Linked DNA regions of Arabidopsis thaliana. The protein of the gene in region 1 binds, or shares a complex with, the protein of each later gene. Each region holds a gene or a part of one and is shown on either strand. Other genes may lie near its edges. The genes, in order: GRF7 and KAPP.

Evidence for each region.
Region 2: GRF7 (region 1) and KAPP share a complex: the UniProt entries of both Arabidopsis thaliana proteins name them as parts of the SERK1 signaling complex.

Annotation. Positions count from the first base shown.
Region 1 is NC_003074.8:519,637-536,516, forward strand, and holds GRF7 (general regulatory factor 7), read right to left. Parts: upstream 8,753-16,880; 5' UTR 8,622-8,752; exon of another isoform or gene 8,443-8,621; intron 8,308-8,442; 5' UTR 8,280-8,307; coding exon 7,803-8,279; intron 7,699-7,802; coding exon 7,576-7,698; intron 7,475-7,575; coding exon 7,358-7,474; intron 7,245-7,357; coding exon 7,164-7,244; 3' UTR 6,657-7,163; downstream 1-6,656. Other genes in the region: AT3G02500 (mental retardation GTPase activating protein), read left to right, coding at 1-32, 411-713, 796-956, 1,810-1,992; AT3G02510 (Regulator of chromosome condensation (RCC1) family protein), read right to left, coding at 2,450-2,656, 2,736-2,792, 2,903-3,016, 3,124-3,177, 3,287-3,488, 3,591-3,676, 3,750-3,865, 3,943-4,003 and 3 more; AT3G02530 (TCP-1/cpn60 chaperonin family protein), read right to left, coding at 9,170-9,245, 9,346-9,464, 9,560-9,667, 9,752-9,820, 9,924-10,018, 10,133-10,337, 10,611-10,697, 10,802-10,916 and 7 more; RAD23C (Rad23 UV excision repair protein family), read right to left, coding at 13,459-13,575, 13,702-13,789, 13,930-14,042, 14,136-14,183, 14,276-14,341, 14,436-14,582, 14,748-14,925, 15,009-15,164 and 4 more. UniProt on the Arabidopsis thaliana protein: Is associated with a DNA binding complex that binds to the G box, a well-characterized cis-acting DNA regulatory element found in plant genes.
Region 2 is NC_003076.8:6,476,805-6,493,684, forward strand, and holds KAPP (kinase associated protein phosphatase), read left to right. Parts: upstream 1-11,514; 5' UTR 11,515-11,645; coding exon 11,646-11,789; intron 11,790-12,933; coding exon 12,934-13,123; intron 13,124-13,298; coding exon 13,299-13,499; intron 13,500-13,604; coding exon 13,605-13,780; intron 13,781-13,865; coding exon 13,866-14,024; intron 14,025-14,113; coding exon 14,114-14,257; intron 14,258-14,344; coding exon 14,345-14,406; intron 14,407-14,865; coding exon 14,866-15,004; intron 15,005-15,114; coding exon 15,115-15,209; intron 15,210-15,330; coding exon 15,331-15,360; intron 15,361-15,692; coding exon 15,693-15,808; intron 15,809-15,895; coding exon 15,896-16,028; intron 16,029-16,113; coding exon 16,114-16,168; intron 16,169-16,246; coding exon 16,247-16,378; 3' UTR 16,379-16,635; downstream 16,636-16,880. Other genes in the region: FAF3 (FANTASTIC four-like protein (DUF3049)), read right to left, coding at 2,690-3,556; AT5G19270 (reverse transcriptase-like protein), read right to left, coding at 8,813-9,855, 10,151-10,205. UniProt on the Arabidopsis thaliana protein: Dephosphorylates the Ser/Thr receptor-like kinase RLK5. May function as a signaling component in a pathway involving RLK5. Binds and dephosphorylates CLAVATA1 (CLV1). Functions as a negative regulator of the CLV1 signaling in plant development.

The DNA.
Region 1 (16,880 bases):
ATCAAATTATTCCTTCAGTAGTGCACTCAAGGGTAAGTCTCTTCCAATCCTTTTGTTTTGTTTAGCTTTTCAGTTTTCATGATTCTCAACTCAAAGATTGAATCTTTTGAGAATTTTGACCTATATGAATCTAAGTATATGCTAATTTCAATGACTAATCAATAAATCTGATGGTACGTCGTATAGTATAGAAAAATGTAGCAAAAAAAGACATTTGTGCCAAAATCATTACGTTTCGATAACCTTTTCTTGAAATTTGCATCAACAGCTACGTCATTATATTACACTTGATTAGTTTGTTTATATTCATTGATAACAATAAAAAGAAGCTCTGTTATGATTATGAACTACAACAGAGAAAGGATATAATAACCTTTTTGTTTGGTCTTTCGTTTGATTTGCTTACACAGCATTGCAAGCAAAATCAGTGTACAAGAAGAATTGGGATTGGTTGAAACCAGAAGGAGTTGAGCTAAACTCGAAATGGAACGAAGCAGAGAAGTATATATGCAATCCTTTATCTGGTGAAGTTCCTTTGGAGTGTTTGTCTTCTAAAACCCTAAATTCAAGATCTTTCAGAAACTTATCCACCAAGCATGCTCCACTCATGATTTTACCTTCTAATTATAATCTCAACATTCCAAGAACGGTTAATCCTAAAGTTAGAATCATTCATGAGGATCCTAGATCTCCCGATCCTGTTCTAATTCAAGGTGATTAGTAATGATTTCATAAAGGTAGTTTTTTTTTTTTTTTTTTTTTGTAACTAAAAAAGAGTTTGGGGCTGGTTTATAGCAGATAAGAAAGTTGTGGGGTCTAAACGAGATGTCGTGAGTGCACAGGGAAATGTTAGTGCAGCAAAGACGACGCCGATCATGGAGAGATTAACGAAAAGACAGGTGGGAGCTGATGATTCGCCTGTTGAGTATGCACTAAAGTTGAAAGCTCAACAAGAGGTACATTATATACGATTTTGCTCTAATAATTCTTGGTTTTAGCATATTGTGAAAATGGGTAAAAATCAAATTATTTTTTTCGTTAAAGAAAAAATCAAATTTTTTCCCTTTCGAAATAATTCGGTTTGAAAGTATATAGTTTTGCCTTTTGAAACAATATTCTTGAAATATTTTATTAAAATAATCTTTATCATATTAAACATATTATTAAATATATGACAGTACTCGTTACGTATAAGTTATGTATACTAGATATATTAATGTTTGAACTAAATTTTGTAAGGACATATTACTCATTAGTTAAGGCCCTATGAGAACCATATATTAACTTCTAACAATGATTATCAAATTTTGGTACGATTTTGCATTGGGCCATTCAAAATATTTGAAATCATGCAAATTACGTACGTAATAATTAATTGCATAAAACTTTGAACTCGTTTGTGCAATTAAACTCTTTCACAAAACAAGAGCAAACACCAATACATAAATGTGCAGTGTATAATGTTTTTTTTAATCATAGAAGAGACAGCGATAAGACTCCACGTTTTGTTTGTTTATATACAAAATATTGTATCCTTGTTAAGACGTGATACTAGTATCCATCATAGAAAACAAAACAGTATCATCCAACTTCGATATTACAATTATTTCATGAGAAATCTTCATTGGACCCCATATTATGATTTTGTGTAGTTTAGATTGAAAAGGCTACTTAAATATGTGCACGCTTGTATATTTATATATCACTGGTTGAACAATTCAACCAATATTTTTTGTTTTTAGAAACTATATAAATTTGATAACTAGTGATTATCTACCTGATTAGTTACTATGGTTTTGGGTTTTGAAGGATGTGAAGTTAGAAGAAAATGAGCAAAATATGATGACAAAAGAAATTCAAGAAGAAAAGAAAGAGAAGAAGAAGAGAAGAGGAAGTGGGTTTTCCTCATGGATAAGGAAAATGCAAAGACAACCAAGAAAATCCAAATGCATATTTCTCATTTGTCTTCCTCATCTTATCAAAGCTTCTTGAGATTCAAACCAATCATTTTGGGATATTGGTTACACAATATTGGAGCAATGTATGCAAGATCATATGCCAATTTCTATCCTTTTTTGCTTGTATATTTATATATATAATATGGATTTTCCTGATCATAGAGTTTTTTATTGAACTTATTAATGTTTTTACTGGCACATGATACAATTTTTTTTAATTGATTTAAAAGATTGTAAAACACAAACTTTTGTTCAAGGTTTTCAACAAACTAAAATGTCTACATCTCCTGATCAAAATTATTGGAAATTTTTTTCCCTAGAAATCAAAATTATTATTTTTTCTAAAGATTATTTGTAGGGAAAAAGTAAATTTGAAATAAGCATGTTTTCCCTCTTTCTTTGTATAGATACACTCTTCTTTTGCCTTCCTTAGTAAAAATCTATTGATATCTTCTCTTCTCAAGTTCTTCAGTGACCAGTGAGATTGAGTGTCAAATATCATCGGACTTCCATTCTACAATGGCAAGAGTGTGGCGGCCACCGCAAGCAATCGATTTAGCTGACCATTTTCCTTCTTCTTCTTCGTCTGTGTGATTAAAGCTTCCTTCAGGCGGAGGAATCTTTATAGGCAACTCCAATGGCTGTCCTGTTGTTACTTTCCTTCCATAACCAAGTCTACCATGATCTCCTCTACCAAACTGATCGAAAAGAGAAACATAATCACAAGGATGTTTCAAACTAAACCTGAAAGCAGTTTTTATGGTTTCAAGGACTGACCGAGAAGATTCTGCCATCTCTTGTCAAAGCAACTGAATGTGTTCCGCCACAAGAAACCTGAATTTTTTGGAAAGAAAGAGAACTCAAGATTCTTAAATGCTTTACATGAATGATATTCTCTTCAGCAAAGAATAGAGATCTCTCATTGAAGCTTAACGCTTTAAAACCTGAATTATATCTTCTTCAGCTAGAAGATTAACTTTCTGTGGAACCATTTTGCTGCTCTTGTCATTGTCACCAAGCCCGAGTCTTCCATGTTCTCCTCTTCCCCAACCATACACCTAAGAATTAGAAGACCAAACACATAATATAATAACGGAAAAAGGATCTAGCACACAGTGAGAATGAGAAGGAAAGAAAACATTTTTGAGCGTAAGATGATTCTAACCTCTCCTTTATCAGTTAGAGCCGTTGAATGCCATCCACCCGCAGCAATATCGACCTGCAGATGCGTGTAACGAAGGACAAATTGTCAAAGCTTATAATCAGAACCACTCTTCAAAGGTTTAATAAGTAGAAAGGGAATCAAGAAAAGGGAAATGAAGCAGAACCAAAGTGAGATCATCGAGGCCTTGGACTGGAACAGGATGAGATGTTGGCTGGGTGTCACCGGTTCCAAGTTGTCCGTATTCGTTATTACCCCATGCCAATAATCTCCCATCTTCTTCAAGAGCCAGATTATGAAATGCTCCAACAGCAATAAGACGGACATTTTCAAGACCTTGAACTCTTACAGGAACAGATATTTGTTTTCTGCAATTTAGAGGAAACCAAACCAAACATATTAGTAATAGCCTTGGAAGTTAGAACGCACAAAATGTATACTATTGCTTTGAGTTTAATGGTTCATTATACATGTCACCGGGAGGCCACGGTTGACCCCAAGTCCACACATGACCTTCGCGTGTAAGAACCACCGAGTGAGTACCACCTGCAGCTACCTTTTAAGAAGTTTAGACCTCGAATGAATTATCCATAGATCACCATTTAGAATTAGAAGACGAGCAAGTATACCTGTCTGACTGTAAGTTTGGGGGCACAACGCTTAGGGATCACAATATCTCTTCGTACGGGCCTACCCATCTCGTCTTTTAAAGGCTCTTCACCACATTGTCCATATTCATTCCCACCTATGTGCATTCCATAATAAATTTTCAATATGATTCACCAAGCAAATCAGATAGAGTATGAAAAGGCATTCTCTTACCCCACGCATATGCTCGGCCTTGATCATCAACAGCTAAACAATGCCAACCACCAATTGCTGCCTATCATCCATTACAAAAGAACACATTCAAAGGTAGAACCAGTAGTTCAATATGATATTCTATAGAAACCATAATGGATCAGTAGAAAGAAAGATCAAACCTGAGTGATCTTGACATTGGCAAGGGCCTTGACTCGACTAGGGATGTTCTCTGTTTTTGTTTCTGGTTGGTGTCCTAATGTACCTCTTTGATTCCAACCCCATGTAAACATCTGAGATCAGTTCAAAGAAGCCGAAACATAACTTAGCGAAATAGAGGTTTTAAATCTTATTTGTGAATTTAAACCTTTAATTTAGCTATCAAACTACTGAAATAATGACCAATTCCATGATAACACAAACAAAACCTGTTCAAGAAAACAACTTTGAGCTATAGGCTAGCTTCTAATCAAGAATCTCAACTAAGAGACTTTTCCCACAAGATAAGAAGACACAGAGCTTCATTGGTTATGATTAATAAGCCAAACTATGTGTTTTTTGGTTCCTTCAAATTTTACAAGAACTTATAAAACCAAACTAAAACAGGTCTCTCAAATTTTACAAGAACTTATAAAATCATGTCCCCAAATGCAAAGAGACCAATCAAAACAAGACAAATCTCATTATCATGATATTTCGGATAGTACCGTGCCATCATCGCAAATGGCGAGGGAGTTACGGCTACCAGAGACAACGGAGCGAACAGAGTAAGGCTCGAGAGCTTCAACGACGCAAGCCCATTCCTTTTCTTCGTTGGTACCAATTCCTAGTTGCCCATCTTCTCCAGAGCCCCTGGAAAACAGACAAAAGATGGTAAGAGAGTTTAACAAGAGTAAGTGAAAAATCGAAACTTTGATAAGTAGATAGAAGAGAGGTGAAGAGTATTCGACCAGGCTATGATTGAAGTAGCTGTAACCATTAGACACAGAGAAAGAGAGAGGAGAGAGAGGAGAGAGAGAAGGTGAATGCACAGAGAGACAAGCGCAAAAGCAAAGCAGTGGGATTCGAGGGGGATGGTAATAATAGGAATAGCGATGTGTTTATATGTTAAGTGTATGTGTTTAATTATATTTAATTCATATTATTCCTAATTACTCAATACATTGATTTCCGTATATTCGTATTTCTATAAACATGCTCAAAATATTTACTGATAATGTGTGTTTGGAGTTATTTTTAAGTTTACAGCAGATTACTATTTTGAATAAAAAAACTTCTTATACAAATGTACACATGGAAAACATGAATAAAAAAATGGAACAATAGAAAAAGGATAATCTGTCAAAAGAAGAAGAAGAGAGGAATAAATAAGGAAAAGAGAAATAAATGAAATGTAGGGAAAGAGACTTATGTGTTGAATTGTCTACAAAAAGATTTTAAGAGTTTAAAGCTTTTCTTTTCCCTGTATCAGATTTTTTTTTTTTTTTTGGCTCAACATCAACTTTCATTTACCAAATGATTACATCCAATTAAAGGTACATAACATTCCCCTCTATCAAATTGGACCCAAATGCAATGGTTTGATCTAGTATCACCCTGAAACACTATCGGATCCAGCGCTACCTGATCGAGGAACCATTGCATTTTTAAACCACAATGAGATAGATAATACTCTACAAATCAGAATATTATCATCTCTTTGACCACCTACAGAGACTCTAAGCGACACGAGAACAACTACTAAAACGGAAGAGACCAAAACCTAGTCTGGAGACAACCAAACATTTAACCATTGAAGAAAAGTGGAAGGCACAATCGTTGCTTTGGTTTCCACGCTTTTCTCTCTCACTTGAAGGCGATTTCTTCTTCTCAGATCTAGATCTTTAGGTTCAGTTGCTCTTCACTCTCCGGACGTAGCTGTTCAACGTCGGTCCAGGAGTGAGTCTTTGCGTTCTCTCCGTCAACGGTGGTGTGGCGATTTCCCTCCGATGTGGTTGTGGCTCAAGTTCTGGCGGAAGAGGAACCTGCAGCGTTTGTCTCACGTTTATGGACGTCGTGAGTGCTTCGGGTCCTCCGGCTCATCCGTCGGTCTTGAGCTGCGCCCACGGCGGAAGTTGGAGGGCATCTGGTGGGAGTGTTGTTTGCTTGGTGGTTAACTGCAGATCCTCAGGATCTTAGAGGGCGGTTGTGAGTTACGGATCTGAAGGCTTCGGTTGAGCCACCTTCCTTTAGATTTGTCACAATTTTGCATCCATCGAGCCGGTTGAAACGCAATAGCTCTGGGATTTCGGATCTGTACCGGTTTGGGAAGGAAGGGTTACCGTCCAGTGTATCGGATTGCTTCTTCAGAATCCGGTGCCGTCGATGTGCTTGTTGGGGAGACTAGCTTTCTGGGAGTCTTGTGGTGGGTTGGTGCGCCGGTGGGGTTGATTCGAGGACGAAAACCGGTCTCTTTCGTCGGAGTTTCTCGAGCATCGGTTGCGGCCTCGAAACTGTAGGGCTTGAGCCCGCCGGATCTAATGCTCCGGTCTCTCTGCTAGCTTCCATCAACAAGCGGCGATCTTCCTTCTTTGCCGACATGTTTTCCGATTTGCTAATTTTGTAACTGGATTTGATGTTGTTTTTGTTGCGGCCCAAGGTCATTTGGGATGAGGATTAATAATATTTAAAAAAAAAAAAAAAAAAAAAAAAAAAAAAACCCTAGTCTGAAGTACAAAGTAAATCCATACTATTAGTCCCTATTGATCAGAATGTAATCCATGTCCCAATAGCATTACCGCCCGGAGGCGCATCATCAGAAAGGCTCAATATCCCCGGCTTTCGTTGTTCCGGTCTTAAACCAAAAGCGGACCATATATCCGACTGACCCGACCAATGATACAAGATTGAAGATTCTTTAAAAATGGGTTAACACAAATTCTGTTGCGTTAAGCAAAAATCAGAATACCCTAATAAGAACTAAGTAAATAATACACTGATTATGATAATTTATGACGAGTTGAATGGAAAGCAATAATTCAAAGTTTTGTTTCTTCACTTCCTAAATACTAACAAGCAACGAAGCAGGAACCAAAGACTCAAACAGCTTTAATAACCCAATAAAAAAAAAAGGGAACAGAGATTTTTGGAGAAAATCAAATAAAGATCTTTCTCTCTGCTTCTACAAATCCCCTAATCATATCATATGTTTTTGGAAAATCCATACCATACATACTTAGAAATGTCTCTCCCTCTCTCTCTGGTCACTGCCCTGTCTCAGCTGGTTTCCCCTCTTCCGGCTCATGTTTTGACGCCTCCTTGATCTCATCACCGCCCGCCTCATCCTAAAAATCAGCAACACAATCAGCGTTTGAGAGAAATTTCTGAGTAAAAGAAGCTTAGACTGCATATATAAGAGTTTATAGGGAAAAGCAAAAGGAGGAAGACAAAGGTGTACATTGATGTCAGAGTTCCAAAGGGTCAGATTGTCACGGAGAAGTTGCATTATCAACGTACTGTCTTTGTATGATTCTTCTCCTAATGTATCCAGCTCAGAAATGGCCTCATCAAAAGCCTGTCAAAACAATTGAGAGAATATCATTAAGCAATTTGGTGCTGGAATAAGTGTTACAAAGTCTGGAAGCATCATAACATCCCGTATGACAAAATACAAACCTGTTTTGCGAGACTGCAGGCACGATCAGGTGAGTTGAGAATCTCGTAGTAGAAGACAGAGAAGTTAAGAGCAAGTCCCAGTCTAATCGGATGAGTAGGAGCTAAATCAGCAAGTGCAATATCCTACATTAGAAGAAAAACACACATAAGCATTCATCATGACAGCTCCTTTACTGGTCTCAAGCAGCAAAATAAGATAGATAGATGTTGAAACTTAAAGAGTTTACCTGAGCTGACTTGTAAGCAACCAGAGTGCTCTCAGCAGCTTCTTTCCTCTCAGCTCCAGTCTTAAACTCAGCAAGGTACCTGTGGTAATCTCCTTTCATTTTGAGGTAAAAGACTTTGGACTCGGCCAAAGATGCAGTGGGAACAAGGTGAGAATCCAGAAGATTGAGTATTCCATCACAGATTTTGCTGAGTTCAGTTTCGATCTTTCCTCTGTAGTCCTTGATAATGGAAACATGATCATCGTTTCCTCTGCTTTCTTCCTTCTGTTCAATGGAAGATATGATCCTCCAGGAAGCTCTCCTAGCACCAATGACGTTCTTGTAAGCAACAGACAAGAGGTTTCTCTCTTCGACAGTAAGCTCATCGGTGTCAACAGTCTTTGCAACTTTCTCCATGAACTCAACCATTTCCTCATAACGTTCAGCTTGCTCAGCTAACTTGGCTAAGTACACATTCTCTTCCCGAGAAGACGACATCTTATGTTATCACACACTCTTTTAGATCCTGTTTTCAAAAATTCATTTCAAACTTCATCAACATCACAGTAGCTTGGCTATATCAACATTATTCCCAACAAAACAAAAGAAACAACAGATAAATCGTCGAGACCAACAAATCAAGACAAAACGAACACTATACCGATAGATACACCTAGAAACCTAGAATCTATCAAAATCATTCGAGATTTTGCCAGATCTCCAGATAACAACGAACACAGAGAAGATTAAGTCCACAAAACGAAACGAAAACATGAACGAGCAACAGAGAGACGATTTCGTCGAACTATGAGCAAAAGAGAGACTAGATCCGTAGCTTACCGAGAGGATTTTGGAATTAGGGATTTGTCGAATTCGAAGGTCGAGACGCGAAATGAGGGGGAAGTGAGAAATTAGGGGAAAAAAAAGGAAGAAGAGATGGGCTTTGATTTTCAGAGAAAGTAAAGAGAAAAATAAGGCCCAGTAATAGTATGACAAGTGTCTAACGGTGTTGACCCGTTAAAGACTTTAATGATCGTGGAAAATAAATAATTTAATTGGGCCTTGACTCCGTTACTAGAAAAATAAAAATCAATTAAAGTATGCCGTGCATTGTTGTTGATTTGACTTTTAATTGCGTTTGTTTACACATAAATCTGGTTCCATTTTCTTAAAATTCTGAAATCTTTATCTTGTTCTGTTTTCGCTAGAAACCACAATCAAAACATTCATCATGTTTGTTTGATACAAAAGATAGAAAAAAAAGATACATTCAAAATTATCTAAGACAACAAAGGATAACGAGTAAAAAATAAATAGTATTCATATGCTAATACTCAAAACACGAAAGGGAAAGTAAGAAAAAATTGAAAACAAAAGATAGTCTTGTTTTAAGTAGGCTTCCTCATATTTCTTCCTGCACGAATCACTTCATCCACTAATAGCAACTGCGAAGCAATCACCGGCCTGCAATACAATACCAAACAACCGTTTTAACAACCTGAACTCAACCGCAACTGAATTAAAAGACTCCATTATACAAATTTCCATTTGGTTCTGCACATACCCTGAATTGATAAGTTGGCGTTTCACCGAGTAATTGTCGAAAATGCCGGCAAGCTGAGGGTCGACGGGTTCTCCATCCTGTAGGTCTAGTCCCACGATGTTTCCTTTGTCATGCTCACTCTGTATATACATCGAAACTCAGTAGATAAACACAAACATAATTTTACTTGGAGCATAATCGATAGTGGCAGAAGAGGAAAATACAAGAATAATACCGTTAGAGAAATGATAACGTCTTGAGTGTCAAGCCCAGCATTTTCAGCAAGCGTCTTAGGCACTACGAGAAGGGCATTAGCAAAAGCTTCAACACCGAGTTGAGCGCGCTGCAATTTGCCCACAATTTACATTAGCAACCGGAAAAAAACAAGAATTGGTATTGGAGCAAAGGAATATTGCTTTCTACTCACCCCTTGAACGGTTTTCTTGACTTCATTGATTAAGTGTTGTCTTGCTGCAACTTCAAAAGCTCCAGCTCCCTACAGAAAGAAACAGATGTCAATAAACCACATGCGCCCAAAACCAAAACAATCACACTGATATAGCAATGGATTTGATCTTTGTGGAGAAGAAGGTACTTACTAATACGACACACTCATCTTCTAGGGTATTCTTAACTGATCTTAAACCATCACGGACAGCGTCCTTAATTTGAGCAATAGTGTGGTCATTAGGCCCTATAAAGAAAACCAAATCATAATCATAGATAATCAATGACCACACATATGAAGATAAGCAAAATTGATCTTCAAAACTTAGCTGGCAAGAGATAGAAGTTTGGGCATTTGTACCTTTTATGAGGATAGTACATGAATGAGGATTCTTCACTTGCTCAACAAATGTGTACTTCTCCTCTCCAAGAACGTGCTCATATACAAGTCCAGCCCAACCAAGACAATCAGGGGTCAAGTCATCGACAGAGTTCACAGCTTCTCCACCACATGCCAAAACCAAACGTTCCATGTTCCTCCTCTTTGCCCTTCTAAGGGCGATTATCTGGAGATACATATATACATATATAAGGAACAGAAAGATAATTCTCTTGTAACAACTTGTAGACACAAGAAACAGAGCACAAGACAAAAAAAAACAAGCTTGGTGGAAGATCCAGGCATTTAAGAGATTCTAGGTGAATACTCTTAGTGGATAACCTTTTCTCTATTTGGTTAAAATTTCAGTTCACTTGATTTCACAATCTTCGTCTACATTTTTTCATGCTTTTCTCACAATCAGATGCCGGAAAAAAATACAAAGCCAATCATAGCTTACCCCTTCTCTAGCAAGAAGATCCAATGACGGGGGATCAATACCCTTTTGATTTAGGATAACAAAGCTGTTATCATTACCAGCACAAACCTGCATCAGAAAAAGAAAATATAAATAAATATCTGAAAGAATAATATAAATAAATATCTGAAAGAATACAGCATATAGCTTGGAGGTAGTAGTTTCAAACTCACCTTGTTCTTCAGCTCAATAATTTTCTGAACTCTTTCATCAACGGAACGTCGCTCAGCAGTAACCATGGCTTCCCTCTGCTCCGCATTCGAGTAGAAGAATCCTGCATTAATTTCACTGATATATAGACAAAGTTAGGCTACACAATCACTAATACACGGGAGAATTCTTCTAAGTTATAGTCTTTCATATCTATTCAATTAATCAACCAGAGATTTGTCTTATGTACCTCTTCTCGTACTCTAATGACACATTGCAAGTCAGGATGTGACAATTCTCCGCACGTCGCTTCATGTCAGGGTGTCTCGAACCATGATCAAGAACAAGCCCCTCAACCTATTACAAGAGAAATAATCCATGTTACATTCACACCGAGTGCATTAAGATGATATATTTGATTCACGACCACTACCAGTAAAAAGATTTTAATCACATACACAAGTCATTTTAATAGAGTAAATTCCGACTGAAGAAATTTACTGTAAAACAAAGGCGTACCAATCGTGTGTCAACATCAAATTTATGGCGCATGTGCATAATCTCAACCATAAACAGATCAATAGGTTCCTGAGGCTTCCGAATGCAGAGAACCTGTTGAATGAGGGAAGTAGCTAATTAGAAGACAAACGGCTTGCAAACCAAAATTGATCCATAGATTAGTTCTCATATATGTGAAAAAGCAAGATGATATTCAATGAGAGCTATCAGTAAACTTACCGAATTAACAACAATATCAGTCAGTTGATCAGCTAAGCCTTCATACAGCTAAGTAAGCCAGAAAAAAAAGACCGTCAGCAAGCGAAGAGAAGAGTTGGTGATAACAAAAAAGATATAAATATCAGCAAACAAAGAATACCTTAGTTCTTAGCGTTGTCCTGGCAACCATTTTCAGAATCTCTTTATCAGGCTCATCACCCATAACCACAGGTGTCTTGAAAGTGTCGAGAAACTGGAGAGTGGCTCTTTTTGCAATCTCGAAACCATCAACTAAGACACGTGGATGCATTCCTGAGACATAGTAAACCTTTCATAAGGACCATTTCTCACTGAGATTAACCAAAACATGACAAGGTAGCTGAAGAAGAAAAGTATTATATGTTAGCCATGACAAACAGATACAGAAAATGAATGGCATCAGATCCAACTGATTATCTAGAACAGACATAGCGAAGCATAAAACTACCCTACTCAAAGTATAATGCAGAGAAAAGCTAGTTTGGCTAACCTTCATCGATGCAACGCTCCGACTGTTTCATAAGCTCACCAATGAAGATGACAGTAGAAGTAGTACCATCACCACTTATGTCATCCTGAGCAACAGCTGTCCTGGCAATCATGATGGCTGTTGGATTTTGAATTTGCTGAAAAGATAAGCAAGTAAGCACTGTAAGCAACCGGTTTAGTGTCATTCATTAGAGCAGGATAGTCACATTACCAGTCCCAGTCTAAAGATTTGTGTCTATTATTTCTATCACAATCTTGAAAAACAGCCTAACCTAAACCTAACTAGGGTTTAACATGACTTCGACCAGAACCTACCAAATTCCATTTCTGAAAACAAACAAATAGGCACAACCCTAGCGTTTTACAAACAAGCTTATTGACAAAATTCACAAGTAAGAAGAAACATTAAGCTAGATTATTCTAACCAATCAACAAGATCTACCATTTTTTCCATACCAAAAAAAGAAGATCTACAAATTTTTGTTTCTTTATCGGACTTACCATTTCCTTCAAAAGCGTGTTGCCATCCTTGGTAAGCTTGATATCTCCGGAACCACCAACAAGCCTACACACCGGAGTGATCGATAAAATGGCATGAAAATTCAGTAACAAGTGAAGAGACGAATAAACAATAGATAGATCCAGCAAGAGTGAAGAGACTTACATCTTGATAGTTCCCTTAGGACCGAGATTCGACTTGAGTACATCTTGTAAACCCTTAGCGGCGTTGATGGTCATATGAAGCGCGGCCGATTTGTTGAGCACCTCAGCATTAGGATTCAGTACACGCACAGACATTTTCGATGCTGAGAGATCAAAAGAAACTGGAAAGAGGAGTGGGGCTTTTAGGGCTTTTCTTCTCTGGGAGCTTCTCTCTCTTTTATTTCTCTTTCAAATTTCTGAGTTCTGTCAAGTGAGGGCTCGGAGGACGATGTGAGGGAAAAGAAGCCTCGTAAAGTTCCATCGAACGATGTCGTTTTGTCAGATGTGGAGAACTCTACTTGGGCCATAGACTTCGGATTTTACAAGTTTTGGGCTTCTGGGATATAAGACTTTTCCACAAAATAGTCCAACGAAGACCAAAGTCACTTTTTGTTGTGTATTCGCATACATACAAAAGAAACGATTATAAGATTATCGAGTTTTCCTTTTTTTTTTAAAAAAAATTATTTATAATTTAATAATTTTACTATTTAGGCACATACAGAAATAATACCTGTCCCCAATTCAACAAAAATAACTGGAACAAGATATTTTGTAAGGACTAACGACAATACAAAGAAAGAACACATGACAAACTTCATTTTAAACTGAGAACTGAGCCATGAACATGGACAAAGTGACGAGGTCATGGATTTGGCATCCCACACATATATAGCTAAAACATATGGACCAATGCGAAAGATAGAGAGTAGGTAAAGTAATCTGAAGAAGCTTATTCCTCGAATTCATGCATGTGATCTAGAAGATAGTTTGCAGCCAACTCTTCATTCTTGTTGCACGCAAAGAACACTTCCAACACCAATGCTCTCTCAAATCCCATCGCTTCAAGCTGTATTTATCAATGTGAAACCGAGTTCATCGATTATAAAGAGTGATACAAACTTTCTTTTTCAGAGGAAAGATCAAAGTTCTAGAAGTAAAAAAAAAAAAAAAAGAGAGAAAATAAGGAACAGACCCGTTCAATGGCTTCACGTTCCTCATGTGTGACTTGAATCGCCTGTGGCTGTGGCATTCCCGCCGCCATTTGGCCAAGGAGGTTGCCACTGAATTACACAATGCACAACAAATTATCCAAGCACAGAATAACTATTTAGGTAATCAAAATCCTCCCAACGTTTTGCTGTTGATATATATGTTACATATGAATCATTAATTCATAATCGTAAAGTCATCATATGCATACCTTTCTCCCCCTCCTTCAACGGGTTCATTGATTAAGCGTAAGAAGTCAGCTTGGTGGTCTTGAATCAACCGCATCAAGTTTGGGTTCTGTTTTCCCAGTTCCTGAAGCATGGGCTGAAGAAAAAACGCAAGGACAAAATTATTTGAAACAATATTTAATGAAAACCGACAGTGATTTCAGTTCTTCTGTGAATTAGAACAACATACCTGCAGAACTTGAGGGTTTGCTTGCACCATTGCTCGCAGAGCTTGGAACTAATATATACAAAAATAGTATTTATGTTTCACATTGATGTCTGATAAACTCTGTAAGCAAGTGTACGAGAAAAGAAAAAAACAGCTTATACCTGTTGGCTGTTGCGCAAGAAGTCAAGTGTTCCAGCACCAGGATTTCCTCCAACATTTGGCAAGCCCTGTCAGAGATAAAGAGCAGATTTTAGCTGCACACCCATCTATAATCAAGAGTTTAAATGAACCAAATCTGCTTTCTATCTCAAGGTGTATTACCTGTGGGAAGAGATCTAACGGATTTGCATTAGGACCACTTGCGGGTGCTGCTGCAGGTTGTTGAGTCTGTGCTGGAGGATTTGCAGGCTGTCCGGCACTAGCTGGAGGACGGGCAACTGGTGGAACTTCAGCTTGCTCAGGGATCCCCTAAGACATGAATTTCGGTGTTTAAATATGTATTCTCTCACTTAGTAGGTAGCCAATCATAATAAAAAGGAAATCTATTCTCGGCATAGTGATTGATTAGTGACCAAAATCTGCCTCTTAAGTTGCATGACGGTACGAAAATAGAGAGAAAATAATTGAACTCACAGTATAAAGATATTCCACAGCTCTTTCAGGGTTGTTAAATGCAGCACGAAGTGCAAGGACAACAGTCTCACGATCCCAGGTTCCTCCACCCATGTCAAGAATCTGCTGAATGGTACTCTCTAAATTACTTCCAGCGGCTAGATTTGATGCTGCTTGTCCGTAAACATCACCTTGACTTCTATTTTAATCAAAACAAATAGGAAACAGAATAAGAGTAGGTCAATTTCTGAGCTGCGCAGAAGACTGAAACGAGATGCTAACCCCACAGGAGCTGAGTCTGGTGCAGGAGTGCTTGATGATATAGTAGCAGGTACAGGTTCAGGTATAGGGGTAGTCACAGTTTCAGTTGCAGCTACAGGTGCAGGTGTCGGTGTCGGTGCAGGTGGTGGTGGACGTGTTGGTGCAGGTGCCACTGGTCTGCACAGTTTTCAAATTGGGGGCAAAATATTGAAATTAGTTGTAGAATGTAGCCACAGTTTTTTCAGATAGATTCTAGGAATTTTTCAAACAGAGAGTACTTGTCTCGAAAACTCACGCTGATACAGAAGCTGGAGTCTGAGGGGAAATTGAAGGCTGTGATGTTGAGGGAGGTATCGACTTGGCCTAAACCAACACCAAAGTTAGATCATTCAACAAACAAGAAAATACATAGAAGCATTTGACACTTTCGTTTCATTAGTTGCAGAGGCAAGAAGTTTTTCCAAAAATCCCAAGTTGCAGCATCTGAGCCTTTATAATGATGTCATAACAACAGAACCAACTCACCTGCGATGTGCCAGCAGATGCACTAGATGCTGCAGCTGAAGCAGGTTTACTCTATTACATGTTTAGCACCAGAGAGCATAAATCAGAATCGGGTAATCAAAGAGCTAAACAGAAAACAACAGAATTACTTATTTATTCCCCAGATCCAAAACGTACCTTGTTCATCATAATGACAATAAAACTGTTCTCAGCAACTTTGTTTTCCTCAATAGTTGTCTCATCTTTAAGCACTTTACCTTGGTGAATAAGCATCTGTTTTGCAGCAGGATACACATCTGCGCCCTGCACACTCTCTATGTTCTTCTTCACATCAACAACCTGAAATTAGATAAATTACCAGCACAAGTCCAAGAAAATAGTCAAGCGCATTGAAAAATAAAAATGTCAGTTACAACTACAAGACTACAACTATCAGAAATGCATTCACAAAAAAAAAAGAGATGATAACAGGATGGAAGTATAAAATCCAAACGAAATCTTTTAAAATGGAAATGTTGTTGCACAACTCTCAGTTCAGTGACAGACTGTAAATTCCCCAATTGGAAAACACTTAGGAGAAGCAGAAGGTTAATGGATCCAAACATAGTAGTAACAAACACACTTCAAATGCAAATGAAATGAGCTCATTCCCACTACAAGCAGTGAAATTACTAAAAAAGATGGCCAAACAAACCCATAGACAAAGATTGCTGAATTGTTTAAATTCTCTTTAGAAACCTCCAAATTACCACATTCCACTTATAAGAACTAGCTCTCAGATCACGAAAGAACAGAGAAACCTCTAAAATCGACCAAATCAAATACTCGATCGAGAAACTTAATTGAGAAAACCGACTCTACCGAGAGAACAATAAACTCGATCGAGAAACCTCCTCGGATACGTAATTCAACAGTCTCAATTGACAAGTAAGGAAACTATCTGTAGAAATTCGCATACCGAATCCTCGGGTTTTACTTCGATCTCGAAGTGAGTCCCCTTGAGAGTTTTCACAAATATCTTCATCTTCTCTCACCGTCGAAATTCTCTTCCCAGTGACCGATTACTCAGGCTAAAATCCCGTTCTGATTGATCACCGCCGGCAAATAAATTCGGGAAAGAGAGTAGGTAGGCGAAGAAGGTACTACAGAATCTGGCCCCTACCTTTGCGTTCCCTCGATATCTCCACTGGATCACACCCGAAGCACATGGCTTGTGCTTTCAACTCTGCCAGGTCAGCCGCCATTATCCTATTAAAATATGCCACGTGGTATTGACAATTTCCTTAATACAGTCGTGAAAGGATAGGCCCAAAATATCACTTATTAAATGATAGCAGATAGGCCCATAATATTTAGAAATAAATCAACTTTCTTTTTATAAATTTTTTG
Region 2 (16,880 bases), on another chromosome or scaffold:
AAAGGAACGTGAAAAAGGAGCTTTTATAATACCAATCGCCACTCACAGGCTCACAGTAGTAATTATAATTAATAATTAACAATAACCAAAAAGAAGACAAAAACCCTTAACCATAAAGAGTTTCAAAGATGGAGTTTCACGTGTCGCTCACTACATTTTCTTATTATTATATTCCATATAAAGAGAAACCGAGTAGGGAAAAAACCCTACAAAACCGTGGTTTATTTTTTATTTGGCCGTTTAATACCTGTAGTTTTAAAATTGGAATAAAAATACCAAAATTATTTTTTGTTGCCTTTTAAATTCATGGTCTTTTACATTTTGGTAATTTCGAACTTGCGATTTAACATCTGTTAATGGGTGTTACGGAAGTCGTTAACGACGTTAAATATTGACCCTACATGTTTAGATATATATATATATAATATGTTTACGAATTATTCCGTTGATATTGCTTTGGTCTGGTGAGCTAACACCCAAATCATTTTATTCTTGATATCTGGGTTCGAGTCCACCTGCAACTTATTTTTTTTCTTTTAACTTGGTCCATTTCATTTGGGGTTTTGCTCATAGATCTTTGAGACGCAATCCCTTCGATGATTGGTCCTAGAACCCTTCCTTTGACGCTTGTTTGATAATCTCTATAAGTCTCTCCTCATCTTCAGCCTGAACACAATCCCAATCTTGTTCTGGTTTTTACCTCTTTTACTGTAACTGATTTTATTTTTTCAATTCAATTCTCATCGTTTATGTTATTGGTGGTGATGGAGAGATATGTGATTGATGGGAGGTTGGATGAACAGAGAGTTAGGGATTTTGGTTTATGGTGGAGATCGTTGGGGGAGTGAAGGAATTGAGTTGGAAAAAGTAGTGGCAGAATCAATTGCAAGAAGGTGAAGAAGATGAAGTGAAATTAAAAAAGCAAAATAAAAACAAAAAAAAACTTTAAAAGTTGCAAGTTGCGTCGAACCCGTTAACTTAGGGTTATACAAAACCCAGGTTACCACTAGACCAAGAAAATATTTTCATAATGCACTCATAACCGATTGTATATATATAAAACTTAAAGTATTAAATTTAACACCGTAAACGACTTTCGTAACGCCCAGTAACAGTTGTTAAGTCGCAAGTTCGAAATTACCAAAATTTAAAAGACTACGGATTTAAAAGGCAACAAAAAATAATTTTGGTATTTTTATTCCAATTTTAAAACTACAGATTTTAAACGGCCAAATAAAAAGAAACCGCAGTTTTTAAAGCTTTTTTCCCAAACCGAGTGGAAACTTGCACTATTATTGTAATTTAATAGTAATTTAATTTGGAGACATATTTAGGAAAACTACCTTCAAATTTATTATGTCTCACTATGTACAAGTTACAAAATAAATAAATACTATCTCAAGTTATCATTATAAGCAAAGATGGGTTTAAACAAAATATGGGGTTTAAATAAAAATAATTACGATGTATTCCAGTATGTGTTAGTCATATGCAATTAAAGAAAGTAAAAGTATAATAATTAAAAAAGTTTTTAACCAAACGCCGAACACATTCGCCGTCCGTACAAGGAAAAGCCTTTTGATTTGGGTTTAACCAAACGCGGGTTTGTGATGACGTCGTTATTGTACGGACCAACCTAGTTTCTTCTTTTTTTTTTGATAAAAAAATGTTCATACTTATTACATTATAAAACAATTGATCATCTTCGAGAGAATATTGACGTCAAATATGCTTGCTAAATTTTATTATGTTGTGTGTATATATATATGTATGCGTTTTTAATACAAACAGATTATATGCTTTCTAATTTATCTTTTTCAGTTTTTTTTTGTTTTTTTTCAATTGTCTTTTGCCTCTCTGCTTTTCGAATTTTCAAATATTTAAGCAATGACCAAACAATTAATTCTGATTTTATAACTAGTAAGGAACTTTTGTATAATTTGATCCGTGTTCCATTATATTATTTTTTAACAAGAAAATATTACATATATAGGGATACCGGCCTACAATGCATATGTGTTTAGCCTATTAATTCTTAACTACAGAAACTTTTGATTTTTAATACTAAAACCGAAAAATCTTTTTCTGGTGAAGTTTTGGGCCATACTATTTGATTGAGATCATTAATTTTCTGTTGGAGAAGTTGGATTTATATATAATTATATGTTTGAGAGCTTAATTATGTTTTTTAATTTATTGTTGTTTGTTGCCATCAAAGAGAAAATTTCAATGTATATTCTGTATTTTTTTTTTTTATCATAGAACTTTAATTTTTTGGAAGATTCTTCTTCAAATGTGGAACTTCCTGTATCACAAGTTCTTGAAATCGATCCTACTTTTTCATCATATGATATACATGCAATTAATTTGATTTGATTTGGTGGAAATTGAATTGGCATAATAATAAAAGGAAGCTTCTCGTCCTAACAAAGTTGAGGTTGCCACTAATCTCGAACCACTGAGGGAATCTTTCTTACCAAACTAGATTAACTGCCGACCAGACCACAAGCATATTCCCTCTGCCCATTTCTTTCCATTATTTTATCATTTTTATTTTAAGTTAATTGAATCTACTTTTGAGTTTTTTCTCGAGTTAGGAAACGATGATTTTTCTATTAAAAACAATCAAACACATCGGAGAAAAATTGTGAAATTGTAAATACAGAGCAAAATAAGAAGTTTCTCTCTTTTAGGAAGTAGCAACGCAGAAAGATTCCCAATTTAGCAATCCCCTGTTTTCCCGATCGCCTTGAACACATCTTCTTGATACTTGAACATTCTCAATGCCCATCACTTCATCTTCATCTTCATCTTCTTCCTCTTCCTCCTCCTCCTCGTATTCTTCGGTTTCTTCAGGCTCAATAGTCTCTTCTTCGTTCTCTACAAACTCATTGGAGTCTTTCAAGATAGAGAGACGGAGACGACCATTGCTACGGTCAGCTTGAAAGCATCCGTTACGAGGAGGCGCGTTTGTGGCGGTCATGACCAATCTTCCGTTTTCACGGTGTGGTCTCATTTGAATGCATTGAAATCCTCTCATAGTGGTCAAAGGAGGTGGGAGATCACTAGGGCTCACACTCCTTTTCCTACTTTTTAACGTTCTTGTCTCCGTTGTTGTTTCCCCGAGATTCTTGGTTTGCACGTCAAGCGAGAACAACTCATCAATATCTGTAACATCAGAACCAGATTCGCTTCCGAGATTCTCAGTGCACAATGCTAAGCTCTGGTCGCTTAGAGCTCTACAAGAAGACGGACGTTGAACATAGTAACTACTCTCTTTCTCAGAGCTTGTCGTCGTCTTTGTGGAGGAGGAGGAGCCAGAGGATAGGGACTGGAGAGAGCTCCAGCCACTCGAGTCAGAGACCGGGGAAGCAGCAGCTTTGTCATCGTTACGGTTTCGGGTGTCCTCTGCATGAGAGGAGTCAAGTAAATGAGATTTGAGAGCTAAACCAAATGGTTGAGAAAAGTGAGGATTTGGTGAAGATAGCCTAAGCCTTAAAGCCCTAGGCTCATTAAGCTGAGACTGAAACCCTTGTTGATACACAACAGTTCCCATAGTTTAAAGATGATAGAAGAAAAACTGTTAAGAGAGAGCAAAGACTTGTGTGAGATGTGAAACTAAAGAAGCAGAGAGATGTTTTTGGAAATAAGCATGAAGGATAATGAGAGGGAGGTGATGCCAATTTGTAGTGTCACAAAAAGTGAATAAAATAAATAAAGAAAATAAAGAAAAAGAGAAGTGACTGTGCAATGTGCAGAGACTAGAGAGGTGGGTAAGAGAGCTTTTCCACACCACCACTTGAATAATGCAAAATCTTTTCTATTTATTTATTTTATTATGTCACACAAATGCAGATAAGAATACTATTATGTAACAAAGGGAGAGTCGCTGTAGTATTGTGCACATGAATAACATTGAAAAAAAACCTTCATATAATCTTTTTACTGTTACAAAAGAAAAAAATCTGATTTGTTTGTTAGTTAATAGGAAAAGATTTGGAAAGCATAGACTATACAGGAAACTTTGGTTAATCATCGTTTTTGACTCATTTGGCAAAAAAATATAAAGACTGAATTATTCAGCAGCCAAGGAACTTTCGACCCTCATGTGATCTGGGACTGAAAGAGACTACCCATAAAAAGGAAGAAAAAAAAAATCAATAGAGAGAAAGAGAAAGTTCCAAATGAAAAAATGAAAATTAGTGAAAAGATAATTCAAATGAGGTTTTACTAAGAAGAGTAAAATTTTGTATCTTATTAAGGTACAATAACAACAGTTTAACATCTGAATGAAAAATAGCAAAATCAAACGCATACGAAAAAAAACATACGGCCATTTACAGAGAGACACGTAATGGAAGTAACATGTCAAAAAGTTACAGACAAGTTTTGTTCTTTCTTTTATATTTTAATTTTACCTTCCAAAAAAACTAAAACAATCCAACAAAAGTTATGAAAGTTCTCAAATATGGTTTCCCCAATATAGTAGTGCTATGATTATGAAAACGATTGTTTGTTTTTCTCTCTAATAGTAGTCTCCATTTCACATAATTTAAAGCAAAGGAGTCGTGTGTCACACAGAGGCATGGATGGTCAAAACCTATGTCGGGTAATTCTTAGACCCGATTTAAACAACATGATAACAACAGCCCACTAATTTTGAAATCTATATCCCATCTACCAGAAAGAAAAATAAAAATGATTATTGGCACTAATCAAGGAATCAACATAAGATGAGTTTCCATGCAAATTAATGTTTAGACAACAATGGTCATAAATTGAGGAAATTCTCATGTATCAAGAAACCACGACATGAAGCATAAAACAAAAACAAAGAAAGTGAGCCGAAAATACACTCACCTCAATTACACTGTATTTGAATGCAAGGAAGCAAAAACCAAATTCCGCCCACTTATTATGACCTAAAAATGAAAGTTTTTTTTTTAGTTTTTTAATGAATGTGAACAGAAATAATTAAAAGAAACATATCAAATCAAAGTGACCAAGGTTTTAGTTAACTGAAGTACAATAAGGTTTAGTGACAAATAAGAAGAAACCACCTATGTTTCAACATCTAAAACTTTTCTCTAACTCTGAAAAATATTGGCTTAAGTTAACATCAAACCTTGTCCTTTGAATCTAGCCAACAGTAAACTTTCAAGATTTGCCCTCTTAAGCCCATGTGTTACCCTAAAGAAACCGTACGGAACAGCTTAAGAAGACAGAGTTTAAGAATCATTTAAGTCGTCAGCAAGAACCAAGTGATTCCCCACTAAAACACTTTTCTTTCTTCTGTCTCTCTGTTAAATCAGATGCTTACGTACTTAACCCCATTCTAAACAACAAAAGACACTTTTATTTCTTAGTAATTAAACAAATGCCCTAGGGTCACTGACTTTTGCTTAACTCTAAGGCTTGTGGATTTATTTATTATATAAACTAATGTAACCTAGTACTCTTCTCTCTAACCAAAAGAAAGCTAGAATGCATGAGCTGTTCCTATTCCAAAGAGGGTGGGGGAGAGATTTGTAAGATCTTCTTGGGTTTCCTGTAACAGAAAAAGTCATCTCAGTTTAGTACTTGTATCATAGATAAAGAATGTGTAGCTACTACCATTGATGAACTGTGAGCATAATGCTAGCTTGTGTGCTGTATAACTCTATGATCAACTTTAATAACCTATTCCCTGTCTTTTCGAGGTTTATTGCGACATGAACAAAGCAAGTGGATTTTAGTTTATGTTTTCAAGAGATTCTGTGGTCACTAAGTCTTAAAGGATTTGGTACAAAGATACCTTTGATTATATATTATACAACAACAAAAGAAAACCATTCTTACTGTTATCAGATTGTGTCCAATATCAGTACTCAGCTTCTATAGCAAGTAGCATCCTACGATATATTCCCGGTGGTTGATCACGTATTACTTAGTCCTCTAGAACATACCAATAACATGTACAAATGCAGTAGAGAACAGAAATGTGGTCAAAATGTGTTATTAAGAACCTCATGTGGTTTATGGATATAGATCTACCCAAGACACGTTTCAATATTCGGTATATAACTCAGTAATTAGTAATTTAGCAATCAATGTTTTGCTATTAATAATGCTATTATCCATAAAACTAGGTTGGTTTTTCTAGTCCCACTTCCTCTGCTGAAGGAATCAAGAATGATATAATTAAGCAACTAGTTGACATGCTTAGAATGAATAAAGAATGAAATAATAATTAGGATTCTCTAACGTAAGCAAGAGTAAGAAAGTTATGACATAGTTAAACTAATAAAAGTGGAACAAAAAGGAGCTGACCTGCAGACGTAATCTCTAGACAAATATCCACAAATTGAATCTTGATCAGCAGAGGTGGTCCCAAGATCCGAACCACCTCCATAGAAGAGAAGAAAGTAGCACAGCAACCTTTGGCCACTCGAAGGGAGAATGCTTTTGAGTGTGTCCTCATACAAAAAGCTGCTTTTTTATACATGATTAAGATTACGATAATTAAGTGAGTAATGACAGAGGCCAAAAGCATCAAATTTAAATCAGAATATGTTTTGACTTCGTATCACTCGCTTGGTTCATGCCCATGACGCAAGAAAGTTAAAAGAAGAAAGAAAATGAAAAAAGAAACAGAGTGAAACTTCGAATCATAATCCATCAATGTTTGTGATTGGTTTCAAGTTTTCAACTAATGGAGGATCTAAAAGCAAAGGAAATACGTCATACCACTTGAAGTTAAGTGGAGACATAAACTTAAGCCTTACGTTTCCATCTATGTTCTATGATCACAGCGTAAAACACGAGTATTGAATCTCTTGGCTCACTATAAATTGCATAACAAAAAAAAAGAAGCATTCCACCATCTTTTTGACCATATTAGTGGAACCTTTATGTGACAATTCTCCGACTTTTAAAATTCTGACCCAGAAAGAAAATCTATATCATTAGAATGAGACAGGGAGCTTATCTAAGCCATGCATACAAATGTTATCGGCTAACATAATTTATAACTTTAGGCAGAGAAAGAATAGAAACTAAAGATTATTAGGAAATAGAACTTTCTCCTTTGCTTTTAGGGAAGCATGACATCCACACGAAATAACAATCTCATCCATAGCTAATGTCTTACTCACATATCACCCAAACAAGTAAAAATTTCAGCAGATTAGATGTCAACATTTTTCAAAAGTTTTAGCGTGGTCTAGTTATCACGACTCAAGTACGGATTAATACGAACAAATAACACAGGTAAACTTACATTTAGTTGATGCACTATAGGAACAATGAGTCAATGACTCTTCATCAGCTCGGTCTTATCCAAATGAAAAGACATGTTGATCCAACAAAGATGATATTGTATCTCACGCCAGAAAGCTCTTCATGGTTGTGCCATGCCTAGAATATCTTGAACCATAAGACAGTGGGAAAATTTTCTCAAGTTAGAGGAGAATCTAAACTTTCACTTAAAACCAAGATTGAGGCAGAAACAGATTAAAGTCAAATTTAGCACTCAAAGTAATTGAATGATTCACTTACTATTAATGGGAAAACACTCAATAAATACGATTCTGTTAGAGTGGCGCTCATCAATACTAAACTTAACCAAGCTAATAAGAGAAATATAGAATTAGAGAGGGCTATAATATTGTTATGCAAAACAAACAGAGTAAAACAACAACATGGACAATCTTCACTAAAAACATCTACAGTTTTTTTTTTAGCTTAGGCTGCACCGGTAACGCATATCCATTTACTGACAGAGGTAAAATGTAAGATACAATAGTTGAGAAGTTGAACAAAAATGGCATACCAAACATGATTGTAGTTAATTGATTGTACGAAGATAAATGCATGTAGCATTACCCATTACTCCGATCCGTCTCTCAATAATTAATGTAGAATAGAGAAATCTCTCTTCATCATACAATGTCATTAAAGATATCCCACACATTAACAAAGAAGTTCTTACTAAATCCCTAAATCAAATCAATATAATGCATTCTTGCTCATCAAAATGCAACCCTCAAGAATTCAACATCTTTACGGTACAATAGGGAAGACAATGTCTAATGACTCTTCACATTTCATTGAACATATATAAGCAGAAAAATTTCAAACTATAGTTGCAGAAATTTCCAACCCGTATAAAGAAAAGAAAAAAATGAAACATTCAGGCTCATATGCAATAACAACGTCGAAATAATGAAATTTCAATCATCTACATGATCATGTAGTAGAGTGCTCTCAACCGTTGGATTAATTTATACATTTTCTATGTGTAAATGTGTATCATGATAGAAAAGGCACGCACCAATGGAACATCTGGGTAACGACGTAGCAATCAACCACATAATCGACGATCAACATTGAAATCTGAGTACGCGCGACTAACGAACGAAACGTTTAGGGTTTGCAAAATTGAAGGTTGAAGAGACGAAGAACGGAGACAACGTCATAGGGAACGGTTACGTGGTATTAATCTGAGCATCGGAATGTGAGCCATGTGACGACGTGGCCTCCTCTTCTCTTCCCGGAATCGCCATGGAAACAAAAATAAAATTTCTTGGAACGAACTAGCACATGTGCCACGTGTCACACTAGGCTTCTTACATTTTTTTTTTATAAAAATAATTAAACTGGAAAATGGAAAAACAAATAACAATTCATAAAAACTGTAAATTTAAAAATATATCTTCTTCGTCTTGATGATTATACATAAACATAACTTCCTTAAACAATTACTAGGTTTTTTTCTTTTTCTTGTTGCATGAAATATAAAATTGCAAAAACATAGTAAAAGAGAAACAAATTATCAATAAGAAAAACACCACGCCGGTCCAGCTTGAGCCTCCCTACAGAACCGATAATAAAGCCAGGCCGGTCCACCTTGCGGCTCATTATGGAACCGATTATAAAGCCAGGCCGGTCCACCTTGTGGCTTATTGAGTAAACCATTATGAAACCGGACCGGTCCACCTTGTGGCTCCCTACGGAACCGATTATAAAGCCATGCCGGTCCACCTTGCGGTTCATTACGGAACCGATTATAAAGCCAGGCCGGTCCACCTTGGAGCTCATTACGGAACTGATTATAAAGCCAGGCCAGTCCACCTTGCGACTCATTGCGTAACCCATTATGAAACCGGGCCGGTCCACCTTGTGGCTCACTACTTAACAGATCTTGAACCCAGTCCGGTCCACCTTCGTCCTCATCAGCACGTAACCGATTACGAAGCAACGCCAGTCCACGTTGCGCCTCACTACGTAACCGATTAAGAAGCCACACCGGTCCACCTTCAGAAAGGTACGGGTTAAAACGACCATCCCTTGTAACACTCTCCGCAATGTCCCGTGCAATGGAATTAGCAGGACAAGACACCAGCTCAAAGATGATAAAAGGAAATGATTGACAAGCTATGAAAATAGTATCGAGCCACATTGCATATCGAGGCCAATCCCGAGGATTATACAAGGCAGCAATTGCAGCTTGACAATCCGAAGAGATTATCACGTTTTGCAAACGAAGATCTCGTAAGCTTTTAACCACCCACAAGATACAACGCAACTCGGCCATGATCCTATTTGAAGACCTTGTAAAAGCATCTCTTGCATGGTATAGAGCCAAACCATTAACATCACGAGCAATCCAAGCTACCCCACTCATCATGTCAGCATTTCCCCAATGAGCATTCACATTACACTTAACAATTCCAAAGTCTGGAGGAGTCCAGTTAAGATCCAAGCTCGTCCCCCGAACAAAGCATGCGCCATATGTATCTATCTGTCGCGCATTAAGCCACCGTTCCTCTTCTTCAACCCCTATGGATCCTTGTACACTCAAATCCACATGTCTACCTGCAAGCAATTTATCATTTTTATTAAACAAATTAAAGATAAAATTTCTGAATTATTAGTTAGATACAAGTTACAAGAAAAATTGCAAAATTCTAGCTATCGTCTTTTTAAAAACAAACGTTAGACATTAGGCTAATTGTATAGTTTATGATAAAAGGACAACGACATCAAATTAAAAAGATTACAAAACTCATTAGCCATACAAAAGTTAAAAACTCACAAGAGTGTTAAACACAAAATTGACAAGAACCATATAGATTTAAATTGATATATCAAAGAGAGAAGGTTCAGTTACGATTTATGTGTCCTCTGTGATGAGCAATCATGACTTGAGAAGTAGACAATAGCATCGTCTCTTGAACCTTGTTTAAAGGTCTGACCGGCCGTTTTGTTAACCAACTGAAAGATTCTAACAACAAATTTTCTTATATATATGCTTTACCAATTGTTGTCTTTGAACAACCATAAAAAACAAAAAACAAATTGAGAGTTCTTAAATACACAAAATTGAGAAGGTAGTGAATGAAGACTATTATTATGTTACCAAATTATATATTCGTATATGTTTACCACATTTAAAGCATAGTCAATAAAAAATAAAAACGTTACCAAATGGATAATATATTGAAAGTTGATTAGTAAGTATCATTTATGTAATTTCCATCTCGTGTATGCATAATTGTATGCATATTGGTATTATAAATTCATATGGGACTTTAAAAATGGAGTAGTTGCATTTGTTGATAAAACAAAAGAAAATGGAAGTTCTCTCTGATTCAAGAATAAAGGTAACTGTAACATGTTTTATACTCACATAGACATTTTTGATTACTATGTTTTACAAGATTTTAGGAAAATGACTTGTGTGCGTGTGTGTGCTTGTCTGTTGCATAAAAGAGAAGAGCACAAGACTGATATTTACGATTGGTATATTAGAATGCATTATACATTCATGTTTAAATTTTACTGCATTAGGGATTACATTTTGTTATTTTTTGTGCTAACTAATTTATTTTGATTAGTAATCATTTATCACAACGGTAAGAAGTACTATTCCGTTATTTCTGTTACCCTACAAAAAGCAGTAAGCTTTTGATTAATAATCATATATCGCAATGGTAAGAAGTATACTGTTATTTCTCTTATCCAATTCCTGCTTTTGATTAGCAATCATATATTGCAATGATAAAAAATAATCGGATATTTTTTGTTACCAAATACATAAGGCGGTAAGATTAACAATGCCAAAACGTTACCATCGTTATTTTTGTACCTCTATATTATACCAATTTTTCTAGATGTTACTCGAAATACATCTAAACATAAATAAGTCATCTCGATCGAAAAACTTTTCATTAACAATGAGATTTCTAGAATCATATCTACATATCACTTAAGTCTTCAAAAACATAACCTTTTTCTTTACAAGATTCTTGATAATTCTAATCTATTTAATTTGTTTTTTTTCAAAAAATTAAAACCATAAATCAAGTGTAAAAAACAAAAAAAATCTCATAATCTATAGCGTAATCCACATATTAACCAATAGTAACTCGTGGAGGTGATAATTATATAGCTTAATCCAACCCTAGCCAATCATGTAAAGCGTTAGGGATAATGTACTCTTAGAGTCTATCGACCAGTGAAAATAAAAAGACAGTGAAAATACGATAAGAGAAAGAAAAAAAAAAAACAGAGAAGGTAAGAAAAATTCAAAGCGAGGTTCTCGGGAACCAATCTGGAAGGAGGAGGGGTGCAGAGAGAGAGAGAGAGAGAGAGAAGCGAAGACGATGGCGATGATAGGGATGAACATTATTGGGCTATTCATGGTTCTTATGTTGCTTCTCATCTCCCTCATCATCCTTTTCGCCTGCAAGCCATGGCGATATTTTTCTCGTTTCCGATCCTCCTCTCGTTTTTCTTCTACCTTCAAGGTTTCTTCTTCCTCTTCCTCTTATCTCATTCTCTATTCAATTTTCAGAGTCTTCGTTCCACGGCTTCGTTTTTTGATTTTTGATTCGATTTTATGTCGGATGGTTTGTTTTCGCGAAATGATCAATTGATAAAGGATTTGATCATCAGTGACAAGTGTTACGTCGCTGGATCATGATGCTTTTCTCGTGGATTCCGATAGTAGTTGGGGTTATTTGGCGATTTCGTTGATTGATTTTGTCGACGTGGGGGCGGTGAGATATATATTGTGTGTTTGGTTTCTGAAATAATCTGATTGACTTTTTGGAGATGATAATGTGTTGTTGAGTTTTCTCACTGTTGAAAAATTAGGATTCTTTTGTTGTTGTTAGATTCTTTTGAAGCTCAAGAGTTGATAGATTCGTTTGGTTTATAATGAGTGTGGCTGGATTTTCTCTGCCTGCTCGATTTGCACAAAATGGTTTTGTTTGAATAAAGCGTAATGGCCGTTTCAGCTTCTTTTGTGTGCTATGTTTTCTTCTTCTTCTCTAGCCATGGCTAATTGACATTTTCAACGGCTCAAACTGTTGATGTGCACTTAGACAGACATTGGAAGTAGGGAACTCTTGTGAATTTGCTTGCGAAAACTGTCGATTTGTTTCTGAATTTGGACATTGGTGCTTATATATTAGGCAATGTGAATGTTGCCAAGAACTCAGTTTCAGTGTGGGAAATTATCGTGGGAGAACTTCTTCCTCATTAGTTACCTTTTTGTAGGAATTCTGTGAGTTTTGTTTTTTTTGTATTTTTGTCTTTCTACCGGAGAAATGGTAACAAATGAATGAAAAAGGTGAAATCAGCTGTTCATTCATTTCCTAGCTCTGTTATACTCTACTCCTTACTAATCTAATAGGCGGTTTTACTCTCACTGGAAATAGGATACAGCTCATCCATCTAGTCTTTTCGCTTGTAGATTTCATTTGTTTGCAATTTCTCCATAACTTGGATAACATACTAAAATTGTATAAGAACTAAATCCACCTTATTATTACTACATTCTTCATATAGGGAAATATTGAGTTTCTCATCTTTCAGCTATTGAGTATCCAGTTTACGCAACTTTTTTTTTGCTCCTAGCCCTAATTCTTTCAGCGCCATTGTTTGCAGGTGGGGGATTTGCAGAGACCACTTATTTCTGATGATGGAAATTTGATCCAAGGACAAACCAGTGAGGTAACAAGGGAATATGATTTAGAGGGAGCTTGCTACCAAAATGATGGACTTTTGCATTCATCTCTGACTGAGGGACGGTTTTACAAACAAAGGCTTCCTTCGTCATCTCCCCATTTCTCCCAAGGTACTCATTGCCTCTTTCCTCCCCTGCTATGTCCAGCTCTGGTAGACAAGTTGGATTGACTCTAGATCATTAGCGTGATGGAAATGATACAGTTGTATCAGAAACATCCTCTTTGCATTATGAACTCTATGCATCACTCATTCTTGACCTTACCAATCTGCCCTAACTTATGTAGGTGAAAGCTTTGTTCTAGAAGTAATTTCTGAACCTTCTGACAATGCTTTGGTGGGCCAAACGCTTAAACTTCCAGCTGAAAAAGGTTCCTTGGCAGAAGTGCAAACATATGACTGGCAGAATAACAGAAATGAAAACTTGCAATATAATCTGGAAAAGGATCGACTTATTAATCTTTCTCCGAGGCTCGTGGAAGATCAAAGTAATTTCTTATTCTTTTGCTTGCCTAGGGTGTGTAATACAACTTCAATCCATTTTTTGAATTACTTGTGCAAGACATATATCATATTTTGTGTTAGAAGTGCAGGAAGTTGGCTGTTCCTGGAAGTCATCGCGGGTCCTGCCATTGGGCTTCAACATGCTGTGAACTCCACAAGTTCCTCCAAGCTGCCAGTGAAACTTGGAAGGGTTTCTCCTTCTGATTTGGCATTGAAGGACTCAGAAGTCTCTGGGAAACATGCACAGATAACATGGAACTCTACTGTAAGGAGCTATGTAGATTTATTTATACGACTTCTGCATGCCACTTCTTACACTGTGCGTCACACCTGCCTGGTTTTGATTTCAGAAATTTAAATGGGAGCTGGTAGATATGGGTAGCCTAAATGGAACTCTCGTAAACTCTCATTCAATAAGTCATCCTGATTTAGGCAGCCGGAAGTGGGGTAACCCTGTCGAGCTTGCAAGTGATGATATAATAACTTTGGGAACAACAACAAAGGTCTATGTAAGTCAATCTGAGTGGTGAAGGTGCTTGCTGGTAATTTTTTTTGTTTCCCTTGTTAATTTCATGCAATTTCTTTTCATCTTTGGAAGGTCCGTATCTCCTCTCAGAATGAGTTTCAGATACCCTTCAAAATTGGTGTGGCCTCAGATCCCATGGCTATGCGTCGAGGAGGCAGGAAACTTCCGATGGAAGATGTTTGTCATTACAAGTGGCCGCTTCCTGGGGCTAATAAGGTTACCTTGATTAGTGATTTGAGTTGTATGTATGATGATGGGCTTCGCTGCTTTTGATAACATAATTCCAAATGTATATGGTTTCAGTTTGGACTGTTTTGTGTTTGTGATGGACATGGGGGATCAGGGGCTGCTCAATCCGCAATCAAGTGAGTCTTTCTTAAAAAAATCCAAATCACCTCTATTAACTATTTCTTTTATAAAATCCTCCTCGATAGGTCTTATTTTGGGTTTTCTTTGTATGCTTAACCTACGAAATGTCCTAACCTGAAAAAGGCTGCGGTTTTGGCTGTGTTTAAACTTCTAACAGCATCCGCCTTTCTGAGTTTTTCTTTATTGTTTTTGCTTCATTTATTAATCAACTTCTTATGTAGTTTAAAATTTTTAGCTGCATGTGATTAGCCATGCAAATGTGTTACAGTTAGGGCAGGCGTGGTTACAGCCGGGAACAAATATATGAAACTTTGTTCTGTTCATTTTTGTAAATGGGCTTAGTCATTATATGTTAGGAGCCTTCACTAACTACTGGAGCATCTTTGATTTACTTGTGTCTCCAACAACGGCAATTATATACTTGAATATATAAGCTAATTAAACTTCTTCTCCAGAATTATTCCGGAGGTTCTAGCGAATATTTTATCAGACTCGCTGAGGAAGGAGAAAGTGTTATCAAAAAGGGATGCTTCGGACGTCCTTAGGGACATGTTTGCTAAAACAGAAGCTCGCCTCGAAGAACACCAATATGAGGTATTTCAGTTTGTCCTTTTCTTTTCCTTTGATGGCATGTTTGCCTTCTTGACGACTTGGCTGGAACTTTTTCATTGCTTCCTACTTAATGAATTAGTTGATCGATGCAGGGTTGTACAGCTACTGTTCTCTTGGTTTGGAAAGACAATGAAGAAAACTTCTTCGCACAATGTGCCAATCTTGGGGATTCAGCATGTGTTATCCAGTACGTAAAAAATATTATATTGCTATTCTTGAGATTCGTAGTTGCTGAGCTTGCATTAACCAGACTTGTAGCAGCATTTCTTGGTGTAGAAAGAGGGAGGGGACTTGATTACTCAGATTAGAAACAAAGATCTTGCGTGTTTAAAGCGTGAGTGAGTGTGGTCTTCTTAATGAAAACCTCTTGGTTTGGAAACAGTAGATGATTACTAATATAGGCTTTATAGTAGAGTAAATAGACATCAATAGATGAGATTGTTTCACGTCGGAGTAGAATTTTTTTGGATAAGAAAAAGAATATTTGAATGTCGTTGCTTTGCTTTGTGGAAATAGAAAGAGAGTTTATCCCTACATCTTCCTTGATACGGATCTTAATTAATAATAAAAAATTCTGATAGTTGTTTTGCTCTTAGGAATTAATGGTCTCGGCATTATAATAGTAACTTCGACTTTCTTAACTGATTACGATTTGGTTTGCATTTGGCAGTCTTGGTGGCAGATATATACAAATGACTGAAGATCATCGAGTGGTTAGCTTGAGCGAGAGAAAACGATTCCAAGAAGCAGGACTAGCCTTGAGAGATGGAGAGACTCGGCTTTTTGGTATTAGCTCAATGAATTAAACACGCTCAGGTGATTGCAACTTCTTTGTAACAAAATGACCAAATCTGATGTGATAATTTTCTTCAGGTATAAACCTTGCGAGGATGCTTGGAGACAAGTTTCCAAAGCAACAAGACAGCCGTTTCAGTGCAGAGCCATATATAAGTGAGCCTTTGCGTATCGATCAATCTAGTAAAGACGTATTTGCTGTATTGGCTAGGTAAAAAAACATAAACATAAACATAATAAGCTTTTTCCCGTTTTCTGATTCTTGCTCGCTAATTTTTGAAATCCGAATACTGCAGTGACGGGTTATGGGACGTGGTAAGTCCGAAGAAAGCTGTGCAGCTTGTACTTCAGGTAAAATCAATTTCTACTCGTTGAGACATTTGCTATGTCTGAAAACGTCGATCTCATGTAATGTTTATGTTATGGCAGATGAGAGATAAAGAGAGAGGGAGAGAGAGTAGTGCGGAGAAGATAGCAAACGGTCTGCTGAATGAAGCTAGAGCGATGCGTACAAAGGACAACACCTCCATTATTTACTTAGATTTCGATACTTCCCTGTAATGTTAGGAAACATCTTTTAAGATATTTGGGAAGTGTCTTTCTTTTGTGTACCATCTTTTTATGTATTAGTATTTTTGTTAGGGTATAAGAGAGACAAAAAAACCTCAGATGCAGAGATTTAGGATGGATCGTCTTGGTGAGCGACATTGGTTTCATTATCTTTACTTATATAATTAATAATATTATCAGTTAAAGTTTCTGTTTCGTATTTTATTCTTTGGTGAGAATGAATTTCATCAGACAATACAACTTATCAGTTTAGTATGGACTATGGAGTCCGTAATTCTGAGTATTCATTGGTACTTTTGGATTTCGATTTTGGTTTTTGATTTTAGTATCAATACGGTTATTCTAGAGTTTCGGTTCAGTTTTGTTCCAGCTATTTCAGTTTTGTTCTTTTTACGATGTGTACGCAGGCACCAAAATAATACTATTTTGACTGTTGTTCGGTTAGAAGTAGAAAGAAAATCACAGATTTTGTAATAAAAATCTGCCTATTTTC